Linked DNA regions of Drosophila melanogaster. The protein of the gene in region 1 interacts with the protein of each later gene in a pairwise test. Each region holds a gene or a part of one and is shown in the gene's direction. Other genes may lie near its edges.

The links. Proteins that work in one complex are often made in the same cells at the same time.
Region 2: the proteins of CG7945 (region 1) and CG6163 interact in a two-hybrid assay, tested with the Drosophila melanogaster proteins (one large-scale study listed by BioGRID).
Region 3: the proteins of CG7945 (region 1) and CG9331 interact in a two-hybrid assay, tested with the Drosophila melanogaster proteins (one large-scale study listed by BioGRID).

The regions. Positions count from the first base shown.
Region 1 is NT_037436.4:15,520,605-15,526,474, reverse strand, and holds CG7945 (uncharacterized protein), read left to right. Parts: upstream 1-2,337; 5' UTR 2,338-2,642; exon of another isoform or gene 2,643-2,757; coding exon of another isoform or gene 2,758-2,963; intron 2,964-3,010; 5' UTR 3,011-3,259; coding exon 3,260-3,507; intron 3,508-3,894; coding exon 3,895-3,915; intron 3,916-3,972; coding exon 3,973-4,115; intron 4,116-4,279; coding exon 4,280-4,656; 3' UTR 4,657-4,764; downstream 4,765-5,870. Other genes in the region: CG33985 (uncharacterized protein), read left to right, coding at 1-282, 345-563; CG33986 (uncharacterized protein), read left to right, coding at 1,252-1,267, 1,326-2,143; yellow-k, read right to left, coding at 4,827-5,855.
Region 2 is NT_037436.4:11,360,995-11,367,300, reverse strand, and holds CG6163 (uncharacterized protein), read left to right. Parts: upstream 1-2,415; 5' UTR 2,416-2,529; coding exon 2,530-2,692; intron 2,693-3,382; coding exon 3,383-4,024; intron 4,025-4,214; coding exon 4,215-4,696; 3' UTR 4,697-5,315; downstream 5,316-6,306.
Region 3 is NT_033779.5:20,821,192-20,828,715, forward strand, and holds CG9331 (uncharacterized protein), read left to right. Parts: upstream 1-2,450; 5' UTR 2,451-2,924; intron 2,925-3,242; exon of another isoform or gene 3,243-3,533; intron 3,534-4,080; 5' UTR 4,081-4,229; coding exon 4,230-4,321; exon of another isoform or gene 4,322-4,384; coding exon of another isoform or gene 4,385-4,476; coding exon 4,477-4,896; intron 4,897-5,441; coding exon 5,442-5,779; intron 5,780-5,840; coding exon 5,841-5,966; intron 5,967-6,305; coding exon 6,306-6,424; 3' UTR 6,425-6,533; downstream 6,534-7,524.

The DNA.
Region 1 (5,870 bases):
ACCACATTAGCCCCATCGGCAGTGGTCACATTACGACCATCAGTCAATCAAAGTGGAGCCAGCAGTACGACTTCCGTATCGCCTGCTATAGAGATTATTGTGACCAATGTGTGCCCACAACTGGATAATCAGAGTCGTATCGCATTGCTGCCAAATCAGAACTCCTGTTCAGATTATTACATTTGCTATCGCGGTGTGGCACTTCCCATGAGTTGTGCCACCAGTTTGCACTTTAATTCACTCACCGGAAAATGCGATCATCCCGAAAACGTTAGGTGTTTGGTGGGTTAACCTATGGTACTTCATATCTTATAATTTTTGTATAATAAATTATTTATTTACAGGCCATGACTTATAATCCCAGGGAGCAGTGCAAGCGACATGTAATCGATGTTTATCCGCATTCCGACAACTGCAATTACTTTTACCAGTGTCGCTCTGGCTATTTGATGGTCCAGCAGTGTCCTTTCTTCTACGGATGGGACTACGAGAAGCGATCCTGTGTAGCACTAGGTCAAGCCAAATGCTACAACAAGCTGCAAATGCAAATGAAAATTTATTAAATACACATAATAATATTTATTAAAAAAAAAAAACGAAATTTTACATTTAGTTAATTAACGAGCTTTGTGGAAAAATTGAAAATATTGAACATAAAGTGTTGTATGTTTACATATGGAATAAACCTAAATACTGGTAATCAATAAGACTTCTTTGTAAAACTATCAAGCAACACGGCCGACCTTGACTCTTTCCTAAATTTATCAGGTGATATCAAGCAATTCTTTCATATCTCTGCAAAATGAAGACCTTGAATCGAAACATTTGCCAAAATAGGCCAACCTTCGATTTGAAACATAGTAATTTGACCGATATGATACGATTTTCCTCACAAGGACAACATATGTCATCGTGATATCACCTAATCAATTTCCTAGCTAATCTCGGCTTCCTTTTCACCAGACTTTAAAATTAAAAATCCAGCATTAAAGTTGTATCTGCTTGCCATTTCGAGATACGATATCGATTGATTGCGAGGAAAGGGAGCCATATTTCTTTTTTGGCAAAACAAAATACAGGAGTCTTATCAACTTCTTCCTACAAGCAATTGAAAATGTTAATTTTCTGATACTGAGCCACATATGCGGCTGTATCTTGGCGCCGAATGTATCACATATATGCCAAGTTCACCGGGCATTACGAAATTAGAATATAACTGCGCTCTACTGGAGTCTGACGATAGAAAAAACGATGATGCTTAATACGGGTTAGTAAGATGGATATTCTCAAAACTAATAGTATGATGAGAATTTATTGGTTTCCAGCTTTCTATTTGATCGTGAACTGCTTGCTGGCCACAGCGCAATTAACCTGGAGACCATCGAAGCCCACAAACTCGGTGACCATCAGGCAGAGTGGTAGTAGAATATGTGCCAATCATTTGGTTGGTGAGTTTGTGGAGCATGCGGAGGACTGCCACATGTTTTACCTGTGCGTTGAGAACGGGGATGCAGTCCTGGCTTCCTGCCCACCAACGATGCTCTTCAATTCGGAGAGCAGACTCTGCGATTCGGCGACAAATGTAAAGTGCAGAAATGAAACGGATCCCATAGAGACTCCTCCATTCGATGGCGGAAATGGTGATGGAGATCCGAATAACATGGTCACGGATGCCGCCACTTATTGCTCCACGTTGGTGGAGCAACAACAATCCAGCGACAGGATTGTATATGTCGGCAGCTCGAGTAGTTGCAGAAAGTACTATATTTGCTACTATGGACAGGCGATCTTGCAGGAGTGCAGCTCGCAATTGCACTGGAATGCAATGACGGGTAAATGCGATATTCCGGAGAGAGCCCAGTGCACCGTAGGTGGTCAGGAGGATATGCCAACGAATGGAAATTCCGGTTTCCCATCCGGTGGCACCGCCATTTCGAGTGATCTCATTCACTGCCCCGCCTACGGACAGCATCTGTATCCCCATATGCAGCGATGCGAGTTCTTTATCTACTGCGTCAAAGGACACGCCAGCCTGCAGCAATGTCCTTTCTATTACTTCTTCGATATTGCCACCAAAAGTTGTCAATGGTCGCGCACGGCTCAGTGTGTGCGAGATTTAAATTTGGCACCACTAATAAAATAGAAGTTTTAATATATGTAGCATACAATTTTTTGAACTTTGGGAGATACCAAATGCTTTTAGAGAGGTTTCTTTTAAAAGTACTACTACTTTTAAAACTCCCGCCGATTACAGATGAAAACCAGAACTAATGTGTGTACACACTAACTTTCGACAACAATGTTCGATGAATCGGTTTCGATAAAGTTGACTATATGGCCACTGTTCTTTTTTGCGGTAGTCAGACACGGTCATACAAATCCCACAATATAATGTTAAATTAATCATATTTATACTTATCTTCATTTAAGTAAAGCGAAATATTCGATTGACCCTCGAAGTAAACAACCCAGGTGCTCAAAAATGAAGCTAACAAAGTTAGATTAATCGGTGTCTACGAATTATCTGGAAACACAAGCATTTCCCGTCATCTAACTCAAACTGCCCAACTCGAAAAATCAACAATATTTTTGCATCGGGCCAAAGGTGCATTAAAACCGGAGCCTCAAGTCTCGGGCGGCAGGTAATTTATTCAAGTTCAAAACAGCCACCCGGGGATTCTCCTAGACATCGGTTGCCACAAGAAAAGAAGAAGAATTAGGCGTAATCTTCTAGAAAATTGGTGATTTCAGCCGAGAATGTTTGAGAATTTTCGAGGTATTTTTCGGAAACGGCGTCGCTGCGAGTCGGACACAACACCGCCGCCACCGCCGCCGCAACCCGCCCAGGAGGCGGAGATAATAAACCGATATCCGGAAGATATAGAAGCCGATACGCCCGAGTCCAATGATGGCTTTGACGCCTCCTGGACCGAAGGCTCTTTTCACAGCCCACATTCAGATAGGTAATTGAATTCTGCGCATTCACGCTTCCTCTTCTCTCTTATTGCAGCTTCAAAGCAAAAACAGATAAAATTAAGCTTAAGCAACAGCATCAAACACTTCGACACCCACTCGAAAAAAAAAGCTTAAGACATTCCAAAAAAAGTAGCCAGCAAAGCGGCTAAAAAAAAATAAATAAGATAAAACCAAAACCCAAAACGAAACAGTAGGCAGCTATCCAACCATCTTGGGTGACAAACACTTGACCGGCTTTTTGGAGGGCGACAGGTTTAAATCAAATCTGGAGCAGCCGCAGGATATGGAAGTTGATGCGCCAACAACGCAGGAAACCAGTGACACTCATCATCATCACCATAGTACTTATCACCAGCAGCTGCATCAGATCTCGCCCAGCGATTACCACTCGGAGGCATCCATGAATTTTGATCATTTGCAAGACCTGAGGGCCGATGCCATGGCCTCCTCATCCCCATCCGGATCCGGAGGTGGTGGCAATGGCGGGAACAGCTCCTACGGACTCGTCGACGATAGTAGAGCTCTGGACAGGTTGTTATTCCATCATAACTAAAACCAAATCAGACACGAAACCAAAACAATACCACCGATTATATTCACACAACCTCGTAGCGAAACAAAAGTTATACGTTTCTTATCTATTATTTCTTCACACTACCAGCTACCAGCTTCATTCGAATCTTTTGTTCCATAATAGTAATGGTGATAGCTTAAAGTATCTGCCGCGAACGCCCACACAACTCTCAAAAGAGCTTTGTGTGCGAGCGCCTTTTCTTGTAGACATATTCTGGTTATAATTTCGTAGCTCTATAAGTGGTCAGTCGATCTGTAGCAGAGCGATCTAACAATCTAACGTTGCTTGTCTCGTTTCATGACTTAACCACTGAACCGCAATCACACTTAACCGACATGTGACAGACCATTTAACGCCAGCGAGAGGTAAATCTTGAATTTATAATAACCACTGAGCGTGACTAACCTTTGAGTGACTCGCAGATTTGTCACCATACTGGATAGTTTGGATGCACGTGTGGAGAAGCTGCGCAAGGATGCACTCAACCTGCAGGAGAAGAAAGACTACCTTCTGATGTCCATGGATCTGATCAAGAGCAACGAAATGATGCAGAACATGAGCGAAGGTAAGTGACAGTGATTCTTAAAACTAATTTGAACCCTCATTGTTCATAGCTTTACTAAAATGTGTATTATTTCGAAGTCGGAAGTAATGGTTTCTGATGACAAACTAAGTAAAGGGTTATTCATAGTTGACTGTGAGCTAATGTTGTACCACCTTCTTTTGCAGCTGAACGAGAGGAGATCATTTTGTACCTACAACGGGTGAGCTCTCGCTTGGCCACCGTGGAGCTGCGTGTGCGCACTGTTCGGGACAACTCTCAGGAGGATTCCCTTAGCCAGATAAATGTATTGATTGACAGCATGATCAAGATGGGTGATCCCGTGATCGGACGCCAACGATGCCAGTTTTACTTAAACGCCTGCTGCAGCAGCTCAATGGATCCATCCGGACACATGGACACCGTGCCCGAGGCCGATGTTGGGCCGGTCGACAAGAAGTTCGAGAGCGTTTTGCTTGGCTGCACTCTGGACGATCAGAAGAACATCAAGAAGCGGCTCCAGGCCTTAATGGCTTATCTGAATAAGCAAACTGTTAGCCATTAATTAAATTGTTTTTTGGTCTATTAACTATTCATAGCATTATTATCAAACCAAACGAAATACATCACCAAGCTAGATGAAACGAATAATAAAGAAAGCAGCATATACACCAGGCCAGCAGTGTTTGAATCAAGTAAAATATAATTTTAATATTTATATTAACAAACTAAATGTTATAAGCTAGGAAAGCACATGTCCTTCGCATTCAAGACCCGATCACTTAGGACCCATAATGCATCATTGGAGGTGAAGAAAATCTGCTGAATGTTCTTCGATGTGATATATATGATTTCGTTGCCCTCGGCTGTGATGTTGGCTAGTTTGGCACATCGTACGACAGCTCCGAATTTGGGGATAACATAGTACAATGTTCCGAAATTGTCGATGATCATGCTGCGACTGCTGCCCAGAAGACTGCCCAAATGTGTGAGTTTAATGCTATTGTTAATTGGTTTGCTTGCTAATTCGCTTTTGCCTTCAATTTCCAGTCTGTCCACCGTACTGTATAGATCACCATCCTGGTCGGAGAGTATGAGTTCCCCTTGAATTCCGAAGATGAAATCCACTGGCTTGATGGGAAACGATTGATTCATATTCTCGTACTTATTGCTCTCCAAGGATAGGCGGTGCCACGTCTGCTCCAGGATGTCGTAGGCTAGAATTTCTGGTACCTTTCCAAGGATGAAGTAAATATGGCGCTCGTGCTCGCATCCCGGACTCTTGGGTCCCATTTGGACAGTCAGAAAGTGGGTGTCATTAGCACCTATATGGTGTCCACAATCGATTCTCAATAGCTCCGCGTTGTTACGCATCAGATCGAAGACAAACAAACGGGGTGAGCACGTGCTGCCGGGAAATCCGATGTCCATGACCCACAGTCGACTCAGTGCATCCACCTGGGACCAGTGTGCCTGTTGTACCAGAGAGCAATCATCATGATCCCCCATGGAATGAACATCGATGTGGGGAAAGACGACAGTGGGCATGGGAAAATAGGAAACCGGCCATTGCGCCTCGATCAAAGTGGGCGCATCGTTGCTTTCTACATTTACGCTGAGAAACACTCGCGAAAAGTGCATCGATAGATGACGGACTTTGTAGCTGGATTCGTTTAAACCAGATTCGGATAACAGCCAGGCGTCCGTGGCCAGAATTAGACCAACAATGAGAAATCCCAAGCCGAGGACACCATGTGTGACCATCTTTAAACGCGAATT
Region 2 (6,306 bases), 4.2 Mb from region 1:
TTTCAATTTTTTTATGACCCCGAATTAATCGCCATGTGGGGGTTGATTTTTTTTTTTTTTTTGCTACGATATCAAAGTTTCTAATTGGTGTCTTAAAACGAGTAGCGTGTAAATATTGGGTACTTAAATGTCTTGTCCATAAACCGAGTTTACGATCTTTTTATAGTTTTAGCATAACAATTTGATTTCAAGCGTTAATATTCATATCTTAAGCTGTATATTATTCGGGCGTCAGTTAAAAAAACATGCGTTTGTTCATAAGAAAAACTTGTTTCTATATGCGATAGGTCAGTAACTCTTTGATCAACCATTTGGCAGTGGTCCAATAAAGTGTTGTAAGCATTAAACCCAAACTTTCCCTTGGTTTTTTTATTTGTTAGTTTTGAAATCGCTGTAATTGGTGCTCTTTGGTTTATTTTAAGTAACACAAATCCGCTCCCGAATACAAACATCCCCACTATGTAAATAGTTGACCACCTCTGATTTATGCCGAATCTTGTTTGTTTTGCAGTCTCGTTCTCGCACGCTGAATTGCGGATATCTAAGGGGGTAGGGTGAGGCGGCGGGTGGTGGTGGTGCCCAAGTGGTGTGGCAAGGTGTGCGGTGGGTGGTCGGGGGCAGCACTGTGGGTCGCTGCTCGGCATCGGGGTCTGGGGCACTGAGTAAATGAACGCAGCGCGCTGCAGCGCCTACGAATCGTTGCCAATACTAATGAAGTCGGCGTGCGTGTGTGTGGGCGGGTGTGCGAGTGTGCGTGCTGCAGTTGTGTGCAGTTGTAGTTGCGGGTTCATTGCACGTACACTCGCACAAACACACTCACAGCGCCCAAAACGACCAACGACGAACCCGAGCAAGCGACCGAACAGTCCACCCACCAGTGATGCCACTTCTTTGCACAATGCCAACTCAGTTTGGCGAAAAAACGGCTAAGTAAATTTATAAGTCAGCGAATATAAATTTAAACATTTTTTTTTTTTTATTTATTCTTGATAATGTGCCATCTTCTGCATGCAATTAGGTGATCACGTATACGCCCAGTTTACTTAAGAGTGACATTTAAAGTTATTTGTATTTAACATTTTTATAAATTTTAAGTGGTTAGCAGAAAATTAAAAAACAAGATGTAAATAAGTTTTACTAATGCAATAAAGACAACAGGACGTATACGTAATCTACCCCTTATAAGCGAAAAATGTGTTGCCTATCTTATGGCGCCATATCATATTTTATGACCAAAATGTTAAAAATGGAATATTTCACGATAAAATATAATTAAAGCTTGTAGAATTTGTTTTGATAAAGATTAATAGACATTTTAAATCTCTTGTAACCGTATTCACTCTTATACTTAAAGATGGGGTTCTTAACAACTTTCTAGCCAGATAAACCATTACTGCCGCGTTACTATCCCCCACCCGTCGTTGGCCCCACTGTGCCAGCTCCAATGCGTCCCACTGTCCGTCGGTTGCTTCGTCACTTTGTTGCGTGTTCGTGATGCAGTTGTTGTTTGCCCTGGTTGTTGCAGTTGTTGGTGCTGTTGTTGCTGGGTCTCCGGTTTAGACAGCCGGGCTTCGGACTCCGGGTCTCCTCTGCCTGCCTCCCTCTCTCTTTCGCTGCTCCCCCTCACACCCGCACACAGCCCCTTCGACCAACAACCGACTTCGGTCATCGTGGATTTCTCTGCTCTCCGTTTTGCGGACCTGCATTTTGCTCTGCACTCTTCGCTGCTCTTTTGTTTCGCTTTTCGCTGCTTCTAATGCTCGTCCGCCACTCACCCCTTCCCCGACAACACCCTCTCGTTTTCGGTGGCTCCAAGTTAGAGAGAGGGAGAGAGAGGAGACCCCCAATGAAAGAGAGGTAGCTTGTTTATCGTTGCCTTTCTTTTGGGCAGCCTGCCCGCTGCTTTTTTCCGCCTCCTCCATCTTCCTCTTATTCTTTCAGTGCTTTTCTTCTCTGTTGTTTTTCGGTTTTTGCAGCTCTGAGCTTCGCTGCTTCTGCCGCTGCTGCGCTATGTTGTTGCTTTTTGTCTGTCTCCTCTTTGGTCTTGTTGCTTGTGTCTGTTTTGCTTTTTCGCCCTGCCATCTTACACACTTACTCACTCACACAGATACAAGCACCTACACGCGGAGACTTTTGTATGTAAAACTGACGTCGTCGCTGCTGACTCTTCTTTCCTTTTTCTGTCTTTTTTTTTTTTTGCACATTCTCCCTGTTCTCTCTTCTCGCCTGCATTTTGTGTATCTCATCTCGTGTACGCTTTCGCTGCCTTTCCAATCTCTTCGGCATCGGGGCAACAACAACGAAAAGCTGGCGTCGCCGTCGCCGTCATCGTTTTCTCTATTTTCCTCAATCGCTGTGCCTTTTCATTTTCAATTCGCATATTTTTGCAAACTCTACTTTCAGTTATTCGCCGATAATTGATGTCAAAGGACGCAGTTGTGCTCCGCCGGCGCAGTTTCACATCGCCTTTGGAATCATTGCCGCGGTACGGTATCATTCAGTGCCAGTGTGACCAGTTTCGCTGTGGCCATGCCCAAGGAGGATCCGTTCGTAAATCGAGCCCAGCTCTTGAAGGCGATCAAGAAATATCCGGAGATCTGGGACTCCAACAACAAGCTGCACATGTGCCGCAGCGTCACATCGCCCATGTGGACAGAGATCGCCGAGCAGTTCGGCGGTCATGTGCCGACAGGTGAGCCCACCAAGAATGTACCCGTCCCTACGAACCATTCCGCTTTCCGACATAAGCACCCCTCACACTCTACGCCACTGCTCCATTCGCCAGCTAGCTAGCAGTGTTGCCATTTGTTGCTGCCTTTCGCACTCTCCTTTCGCCAGCTCTTTCGAGGCGCATTCAGTGGCGCAGGCATGTGCTTTTGAAAGGGGGCTGAAAATCACTTTATTTAAAGTAAGTTGGTCCAACCTGAACATTTTAAAGTTCACTGCTCAATAACAAAAATCTACGTTGAATCAATATTCCTAAAGGGTTCATTATTTTCTTAAATTACGTCACTGCACTTGGCTAAAATTAGACAAAGGGCATTTCGGATAGAAAGTAAAGGTTTCTGTCCGTTTGGAATAATAGAGGAGCCTACGCCACTATATAATGCAAATTGAAGCACTCGCAGTAGAAATAATTGACGGGTGGAATGTACTTTGATGAATGCAATTGGGTGGCTTAATGTAAGCTTAGTTATCTGCACCGTGCCACAAGATATTACAATATTCATGAATGAAAAGACTAAACTTCGCACTCTTAGGCCTCTTAAGCCATAATCTCAATATTTGAAATATCTATTTCTTGGAAGTTTCAATAATCACGATTCACGATTAATATTCTTTAAAAAAGAAAATGTTTACCATATTTATTTATAATTTTCAGTTAAGCTGCAATCGATCTGGAGCCAGATGAAGTACCACTATCACAACTTGGTCCACCGCCAGATCCTCCACAAGGATCGATTCAACACCAAGTGGGAGCACTTCGAGCCCATGTCCTTCATGTATAACATTACGGTGGCAAAGATCGTAGGCGCTCAGTCGAGCGGCGGCAGTGGCGGAGGCACCTCCTCCGATGCCCCATCCACAGCCACTGAAGCAGCAACTGTGGGGGAGGAACCTGCTGCCCCAGTGGCGCCTCCGCCATTACCCACCGCCACCCATGGTCGCGGACGACCCAGTGGTAGCTTCAGCTGGCTGCAGACCGCAACCACACCCACCGCCCCTCAACTGCCGCATCTAATCACTCAGCCGCCCCATAGTCAAGGTCATGGCATGACATATACCGCTTTCACGGGGCTGGTACCTCCACCGGCCACTGTGGCCTCAGAGACGGTGGCCACGCCGCCGCGAAAGTTGGGCCGCCCCAGTTCGTTGCACAATAGCATGCGCGGACGTATCATCGATGCCATCAAGACGCGTCCATCGTTGTGGGCTGGGCGCCAGCGGAGTGAGAAAGGACAGGGTCAGAGTAGAACCTCAGCGGTTTGGAAGGAAGCGGCCATGGAGATGGGTCTGACACCGAGTAAGTTAGTCCCGTCTAAGTAGATTATATCCATCGAAATATATAGCATGTAGCAAACTAATTTAATATTGTGTTAAAAGGATGTTACTAATGTCCTGACGAATTGGTATTAAAATAAGCTTAAGTAGCTTAAAGGAATGTGAATTATAAAAAGTTCCCCAACCCTCCCAAAACATCTTATACTTTGCAGCTCTTATGCAAACGCGCTGGTCAATCATCAAGCAGCGCTACGTAGACGAACTGCAGAAGGAGCGCCACGCCCAATACTCCCACCAATCCTTCCGCTCCACGTGGGAACACTTCGATCGAATGTCCTTCATGCGGGAAATTCTGCTAAAGAAGGTCGATGAGAGGGAGCAGACACGCGAACAGATCCAGGAGATCGTTAGCGAGCAGCAGCACCACCAGCAGACGCAGCACCATCCGTCACAGCACTTGCACCACTACCGTCCACCACAGCCGCCAGCAGGATTGGTGGAGCACGCCCAGGACATGCCAATCGGATTGGTGCAGCACCACCATCAGGAGGGACACCATCCGACTTTGGCCATGCACCATCCGCAGCACTCGCAGCCCATTCGCCGTCGGGTCAAGCACGAGTCCGATCTCGAGTGGGATCCCTTTGAGATGATTCTCCATGTCCATGGTGCCGGAGAGCCAGCTGCCAATTGAAGACTGAGCAAATAGGGGCAGTTAAGCCCTAGACACACCTGAGAAAAAGCCTGCACCACTTTGTTTTTTTTTTGGGCACTAATTAATATTAACTTACTAGATCAAATACTTCAATATAATTGAACAAAATTAACAAGATTTCACTTGTTTTTTTTTCTTGATTTGATATAGGTTTCTTCTCAGGTGCAATTTGAAGACCCTAAAATAATCGTCAGATGTAAAATCACTAGCTATACCGCATGCCCCTACTATTGAAAAACCTTTTTGTAATTCCATTTTCTACTACTCCGCAAATAAATACATCACTAAGATATACATAATATTTAATTTGTATATTTTGGTTGGAAATAAATTCACTTAGCATATATATTCCAATTTGTGTAGTCTAGAAACTTCCATGTATTTCTGAAGGATTAATGAATTAAAATTAAATTAGGGCTCATTCAATGCGAAACTGAAATGGATACTACTCACGTTATATAACCGAGTGGTATACATTTCATCAATATCAATTTCGAGAAAAATGCGATTGTAATTTCCGAATGAAAGGAGATTTATTCCATCTGAAGTGCTTTGCACTCAATCAATTGCGATAATCGTGATGCGATGCGACGGATTCGAGATTCGAGAACGCTCCGAGCGCGAAAACTAAATTATGCTAATTCTCACAGTGTGTGCAACATTTGTCGATTGCCAAACTGGCAAACATGTTTCAAATACACACACACATACACATTGCCGCACATGGAGTCGTCCCATAAAGCCACCATCCATCCAGCCATCCTGCCATCCTGGCTTCCTGGCATCCAGTGTTTTGTGGATTTGTGTAAATTTCTGGCTGAGGGCCAAGGGCGGAACACGCGTAATTCCAATCACGTGCCAGCCCAGAAAAGAAAAGTTCTCAAACTGTAAAACGTTTATCAAAACGTATAGCTGCCCCGTTTTCGTTTCGCCCAAGAGCCACCCACATAATTGGCCCAAAGGATGCCGCCTCATCTTACATCCTCAGCACCCAACACCCCTTTTATTTTTCATCCGCCCGCAGACTCCGACAATATCTTCAATAATAAATGCATTTCACTGTCGAATTTGCCGCATTTTGCACAACACACGTGCCTTAAATAATTCACGTCGCATTTAGCGGCGTTTTTGCCAAGCCTCTAATGGGCCCAGCGATTTGTAGTGGGCGTGGCGGTGGGGCGGTACGGCAATAGGTGGAGGCGTGGCACGCCGCCAGGTAAAGTGGAAAGTAGTTGGCTACGTTTTACGTTCTAGTTCGGGGCGAAAATTTGCCTAAAAACTCAAGTAGTTTGTTCAAACTTTTATGCTCCGTGCATTTATCAACGCCAGCTAAGCGGGGAAATGCGGTCGGGTGTGTGTTGGGTGGGGGGTGGGGTTAGGGTGAAAGAGGGGTGGAAAAGCTGGGTGGAAAACCCATCCAGGAGTCCATGAAGCGCAGCAGCCCGGAGCAACAGCGCTGCCGTGTAAAAGTTTCCACAAAGCCATGGGTGGGTTAGATGATGGAGCGTTATTTAAATGGTTTTCGGATGCGTACGTGCGAAAATGTTAGTAACAACGGCAGGTGCTACAAACCATGTTAGAATTTCTTT
Region 3 (7,524 bases), on another chromosome or scaffold:
ATCGAATAAAAAGGTGCCCAACGCAAAAACAGGTTTTTTGTTTGAGCTTAAGAAACATACATATGTATGTACATATGCCGCGAGCATGGGTCAATTTAACACCCCACCCCCCCCCACCCCTCTGCAGTGACCCTGGACGTGTTCCCAATTCTTAACCGCAAGCAAGTGCAGCGAAAACAAAACACTTGCATTCCCATAATTATCATGTGTGGTAAGCAACGGGGACTGCTGCAACACAAAAACCAAGCAGCAGAGACATGTAAATTAAGACCCGTGCCTGACGTCAGTCAATGTTAACATCATTACAAAGCCAACAGAGCTGGATTAGCTACCTAAGTATGTTGGTATATATGTATATACACAAGTACACACTTCCATGAGCAACTGAAATCTGGGGAATGACTACAGTGGTACTTTACTAGTTTGCTAGTCTCTTTTCAGTTTAGTGCTTACTGTTACAGAGGACGCACTGTACTTGCACATATGCAAGTGCACATCAACTCCCACGCTCACCAACTCTACTTGTCTCTCTCTCTTCTAGAGCTCGTGGTGGAGCTCACTCCCGCTCCCGCTCTCGTGCTCGTTATATTCATAGAGCTGTGCCGTGTGTAGGCACCGCCATCGACTTGGGGCCCACCACCACACGCGCAGACACACAGACACAGCTCGCTCTCGCTTTTTGTCTTCCGTCGGGTTATCTCGCTGCTGGCGACTCTGGGCGCCTGTTCCGTTATATCGCGTAGAGGGACCTGCCTCAATGTTGCGCGTCAATTTTAGGGAGCCTACACCATAAAAATCGGTGACGGTTGGCCACTTTTTTTGTGGCCCGGCACGTCCCACTTTTTTTTCATCTTGGCCTTCTCGACAGGCCGTTGAGTGGAGTTGGGCGCTCCAAAAGCGCCTGCGCGGAGTGCGCGACGCCTCGCTTTGCAGCTTTGTCGCTCGGCCGCCATTTGCGATTCCCGCTGCTGGTGTCGCCAAATATGAAGCAAGCAGAATGCGGCGCAAGCAGTACGGATATGTTTGTGGATGCTGCTTAGGTGTCTGCAACTTGCCCTTGACAGTTGACTTTAACCCGCTGAGTGCTGTGCGAAGGCAATCCCAATCTTACCTTGTGAATGCAATTAGCAAGGTTCTAAGTTCTAAGTTAAAATGTTTGTAAATTACTTTTTAAGAAATGTGAACAAGTACTACAATGTGTATTTTTGGTGACACATTAACTTTTATTGCATTAAGCATTATCAGGAATAGTGCTTAGAAGTGCCTAAAAGTATGCCCACTTTGTTCTTAGTTGGGAACTGAACTAAGTAAACGTTTTCATTTTCAGTTTCCGATTATATCGAAACTGTAGTAATTTATTAGCCTAAAACGAAGACCTAGTGTTAGGCTTTCTAATATCCCAACTTATAAATATTATTTACATACATATGTACATATGTACATTGTATTTTCATATGTTCAGTGGAGAGATCGAGAGATGCGCTTCTCAAATTCCATTTTTTCCGTTATACCCCGTCTTTCACTGTCCGCCTCCACTATCTCTATCTCTCCGCATTTTCTCTTCTCTGTCCGCCGCACACACTCTCGTTGGCGTCTGTCTGCTGTCATCAGTTGCTGATTACTTGTTCACCAAACCGCAGTTTAGCGCTGGCAATGCCGGCGGCAGCAGACGTAACGACGACGACGGTCGCGTCTGATAGACAGCTGTCTCCAATTGGAATGTTGTCTCCGGTTACGTCAGTCAAAATGACGCATCGTGTTTTGGTAACAGGAAAGCATAAAAGCGAGAAGAGCACCAATGTGCGGCACTCTGCTGCACAATGGCCGCGAAACAAAAGAACAAGGCACGAAGAAAATGTGTAAACCGTTGTGGGGGACGAAGAAAAAGCAGGCACAGACGCTGCGCCGCGTCACGACAACAAAAAAATCCACCCTCGCACAAAGCGCTAATATTTTGTTGGTTTTTCGTTTCGCTTTCAATTAGGCAGAGTGCAGTGTCTGGGCCAAATCTCAAAGGTAAGAGGAAGTGCACAACTTTCAGTGAAGCCAATCTAGGCAAACAAAAAGCCAAACTGTCCGTTTCGATATTTCACTAGAGCGGTATTATGGTTAAAACTATGTTAAAATAGTTCTATACTTAAATCGTAAATCAGTAAAATTTAGATTAGTCAATTTTCGTATAGTAACAATATCAATAATTTTATTGTTTTTAACATTTGGAATATCTTATAAATATGTATATGTATTATCATGTCTATGAATATATTCAGTTCTAACCAGTAAAATATTTGATTACTCCTTACACGTAGACGTAAAGTAATTTAGTATTTTGTTTTAAGTTTCTGTGCCTTTTGTCGGAAGTTCTAGCTAGTTAATTCGCGCATCACTGCCAGCGACGCTAACGCCAACGCGAACGGTTCTTGCCGCCGCTTTCACACAGACGAAAAAGCGCAGTGTGCGTTGGCCAACGCTGTGCGCCTGCTGTTCTGCGGACAAAATTTGAGCAGATCCGCTCACAAAAAAACGTACTTAACTGCGAAATAGTGCTGGTCGTGTAGGTTCCACGTTCCAACCGACTGCAGTGCTTTGGCTCCATGGCACCACGGCTAAATGGCCAAATGGCTCCACTGCTCCGGTGGCTCCAACTGCGGTGGTGCCCATTCCAGTTGGAAATTGCATGCGAGCACATGGGAAAAGTCCCCAACTGGTATTTCGAGCAGGCGCACAGCTTTCCCAACTGCTCACTCTCCCAAAGAGTTCCGTCTCTGTCTCGTTCGCACCGATAAGGAGCCTTTCGAGATAAGCAGCTGGAAAGGGACGGACTGATGGTAGCGGCAAAGCGCAGTGTGCAACGACAGAAAGGGATGCCCAATGATGGTCTAATCGGAGGGGGAATCGCTGATCGCTGATAGTACTGGAATCTGGTTGATATAACCCCAATATTATGTTAAAGAGTGAACTACATTTTTAACTGAGATTTTAGTGAGTTTCCGGCCTTTAAGGGGTGTATTTTTACGATAATAAAAGTTTGTTAGATCGCATATTGTTTTAAATATTTCATATATGTTATTTTATTTTAACGAATTTATACAATTGACTTCAAAAATATCTGTGCACCATTCCATAAAATGTAAACCGAATTAATATGTTGAAAATTACTCTCGTATTAACTCTTTTTTGGGAATTGATAATTCATTTGCGATACGATATGAGTTCTATATAAGGCTTAAGCTTTGGGGCCAATACTTCAGTCGTGCGGCAAACGCAAAGCTGAAAAGTATTCTAGTTCTATAGATCTCACGGTAAGAGAAAGTATAAAGTCTAAATAAGAGAACATAAAAATGAAATCGGATTGCGAGCTTTTATTGCATAGCCAATGGAAAAAAGTTTTAGTTAAATTTTCACGTCGGGTGCGTTTGGAGGCAGAGTGTAGCATAGTGTAAAGAACAAATTAATAATAATATAATAAAGTAGTTCTCTTGTGACATTTGGTGTCGTAAACAGTTTGGTTAAGAGAGTTTTTAAGAGTGACGGTTTGTTCTTTGGTGACATTGAGTGTAATTAATATCAAAATATTACTGTGGGTTTTTCCATTCCCTCCCACAAACAAACAAACAATGCTAAAAAACCATCAAATTGTCAAAAGTGTTGAGTGGAATGAGTCGTGGAAAAATGATTAGATGCGAACATATCTGAAAGTTTTTGCTCGCGGAATTTCGCCATAAAAATCTCGTGCGTCTGTGCGGAGATAGCGACCGTATAACCGCGAAATTTAAGTACTTTAAAAAACATGGGAGATAGATGTATTTTAGCTACTCGAAATTATTGACCGCAGTATATAATCGTATTTCCACTGAAATAATTGTCTCTGTTTTTTAGCCAAAATAATTGGCTCTTAGTCTTTGATAAATTCATCTATGTTTCGTAATTTTTTCATTACGCTCCACATGTTAAGTAAAATTAAACTTAATTTTAGAATGTTTATTTTTGCCAAATGTTATTGTTATTAACCCAGAAATAATCTTGCACCGTTCCTGATTATTGAATCCACTTCGATAAAACTCCAATATTATACCTTAGTTCTCGAACCAGCAAACCAGTTGTGCGTCTTATACATACGCCGTAGGAGAGACTGAGACTCACATCAGCTGCTCGGCGGCTTGAACGCCTACAGACATACATACATACGTACATACATATATAGGGAGAGATTTAGAGCGCGGATTATAATGCTAAACAGGTTCATTGGTTTATCGGCTGCGATCGTGGGTCGGAGCAGTCGGATCAGCGGCTTTCCGTTCTCGCCGCTCCTTAAAGCTGGGTGCGTATGCCGCTTGAGAGTTCAGTCGCTCGCGAAACACGACTTCGATCGCAATACTTCGAGATGAGATCGATTGCCACCAACTCCCTGCTGCCACTGATTGTGGCCTTGCTGATCGCCGGTAGTAATGCCTCCCTCCCACGCAGGGGCAGCAGAAATCAAAGCCAGAATCGCACCATGTCCGCTGGCAAGGCTTTCAAGGTCCTGGTGACACATCCCGAGGTTCCCCAGGAGGGCATTGATCTGCTGAAGGAGAACTGCGAGATCGTCCAGGTGCAGAGTGTTCCCATCAACCGGGCGGAGCTGCTGGAGAAAATCCGTGGCGTGGATGGCGTTCTCTGGGGTGGACACGAACCCCTCAATGCCGAGGCCCTCGATGCTGCCGGTCCCCAGCTGAAATCCATCTCCACCATGTCGGCGGGAATCGACTACGTCGATGTGCCGGAGGTAAAGAGACGTAAGATCCCGCTGGGACACACGCCCACCGTTCTCAACACCGCCGTGGCCGATTTGGCAGTGGGTCTCCTGATCGCCGCCAGTCGCCGTTTTCACGAGGGTCGCAAGACCATCGACAAGTGAGTACCACTAGTTGGTTAGTTGTGTTTGTGATGATTCATATACTTACAGAATTAATTTGAGCAATGACAAAAATAGAGTAAACCGAAATTATAATTGTCATAATTATTATTATAATTAAGCTAAACTAGGGACACTTTATTTTCAACTTAGTGTGGCCGTGAAATGTATACGCATGAATTCTCGATTAAAATTGCAAGCCGGTTCTTAAGAATACCGCCTGTCCGCTCGTCTGTCGCTTGCACTTTTGCTCTATAGCGCTCACAAGTGGACAAAGCATTATCATCAATAGGTTTTGGCTCCTCACATGCATAATGTAAAATTCTAAAGTATTGACTTTCGATTTATCTACAAACAAAAGGTACGAGCAGTTTATGTAACCGCCGCTAGGTGGCGGTGCAATAAAAAAAAGTTTTTTTTATCTTCATCTTAGCTTAGTAACAGGCATTTATCAGTATCTCGAGTATCTACAAGTATATTATATATTTTGGAAATATTCATATATCTTTCAATTTCTTAATTTGTATCTTTTGCGTTCTAAAAGTGACAAGTGGGAAAACTACCATCTTAACTGGCTGTTGGGCCAGGATATTCGTGATTCCACCGTGGGATTCTACGGCTTTGGAGGCATTGGTCAGGCTATTGCCAAGCGTTTGTCTGGATTCGACATTGACAAGGTGCTGTACACCACCCGTCGTCGTGTTCACAAGGAGATCGAGGAGGAGTTCAATGCCAAGAAAGTTGACTTCGATACCCTTCTGGCCGAGAGTGACTTCGTAGTGATCGCTTCTCCTTTGACGAAGGACACACAGGGCGTCTTTAATGCCACCGCCTTCAACAAGATGAAGCAGACTGCTGTGCTGGTTAACATTGCCAGGGGCAGTAAGTTACCAGTATTAATTGGGATTCTCGACCGATTTTAACTATTTATTTTATTCCTCAGAAATCGTCAACCAGGATGACCTCTACGAGGCTTTGAAAGCCAACCGAATCTTTTCCGCCGGACTCGACGTCACGGATCCGGAACCATTGTCGCCCAAGGACAAGCTGCTGACGCTTGACAATGTTGGTGAGTGGGAAAATGAAAATAATGTTGTAGTTTATTGATATCAGTCCTCAGGCCCACACCTAGCAAATACTCGTATTTCTGGCCCCTTATCAATATAAAGATTTTGACTTATCTCTTCAGTGGTTGACAATGACTAAAAGTATTTTGAAATTAATGGAATCTTTAAGGTTTCTTGAAGGTTACAAATAAATAGGGTAACGTTTATTCTTTCCATGTTTTATCTAATTTCTGCGTCCTTGTTGACCTCTATAATTCCCTTCTTTTGTTGATTTATTAAAACATTGTTATCTTGGTTTGTGTAATCGTATCTTGAACTAACCACTTGATGTGTTCTTTTAGTTGTCCTGCCCCATATTGGATCCGCCACGAAGCGCACCCGTGCCGACATGTCCACCATTGCTGCCCATAATGTGCTCCGCGGTTTGGCTGGGGAGCCCATGTTGTCGCCCGCCTACTAGTAAATTCAAATGGGAAATATGGCTTTCTACCGCTAACCAGTTTGGAATGTCCGCCAAACAAAGTGCGAAAGGCCGCCGATGACCTTGGCATGCCAGTAGATGTGAAAATAAAAAAAACAATTAAAAAACAAGTATTTGCTGTTGCAAATTTATTAAATTAAATATGTGGGAATCTAATCTATACCGTAAGATTAGCTCAACTGATTAATATGGAATAGGTAAAGCAATAGAATAATTGGTGCTAGAGAATGAGAAACATAATTTAAATACTAATATAGTATATCGTAGGAAATAATATTGTACGTTTTAAGAAATGAGAGCAGAAAACATTGATTTAGTAATTCGCAAAGTTTAGCTCTGCACAATTGCAAAACCTACCACTTTTCCCCAAAATGTATCGAGGACCTTCAAACTGCTGATTTCGCATCCAAAAGTCCCAGGAACGGCTGCGGGAGCTTGTCGGATCAGGATCGGAATAGGATCATCGCTTCTTAAAACTGGGTGCTTATGCCGCTTGAGAGTTCGCTCGCGAAACCCGACTTCGGTTGTAGTTTTTCAACCTGCTCCCACTGATTATGGCTTTGCTGATCGAATATAATAATTGAAGGCCCCTGGGCATGGCCCGTTGGTTTCAAGGTGCTGGGGGCGAATCCCAGGGATTACTATGTGGGCATTTATCTGCAGAAAGAGAACTGCAACTGCAACTGCTGCAACCAGCAAGAAAGCAGACCGGCGACTGAGCAGGACAGTAGCCCCATAAGGCAGTGGCTCTAAATGAATACTGCCCCCAGCTGACTACGCCGATGTGCCGGAAGTCAAGAGGTGCAAAGTCCCCTGTCAACAACGACGTGGTCGATTTGGCAGTGGGTTCGAGTCGTCGTTTCCACAAGTGATCCAAGAGGATGTACACCATGTTGTACAGTAAAGGATGTAGTAGTATATTAAATTGAACGATTAATCAGTATACCTGTTACTCCAAAAGTAAACGGTATACTTCTTTCAAAAATAAGTAACGGGAAGAAGAAAACGTTTTCATTGCATACAAGTATATGTCTGTCCTTTCGAACAACTCGATCTCAGGACATAAAGCATTTTTAATT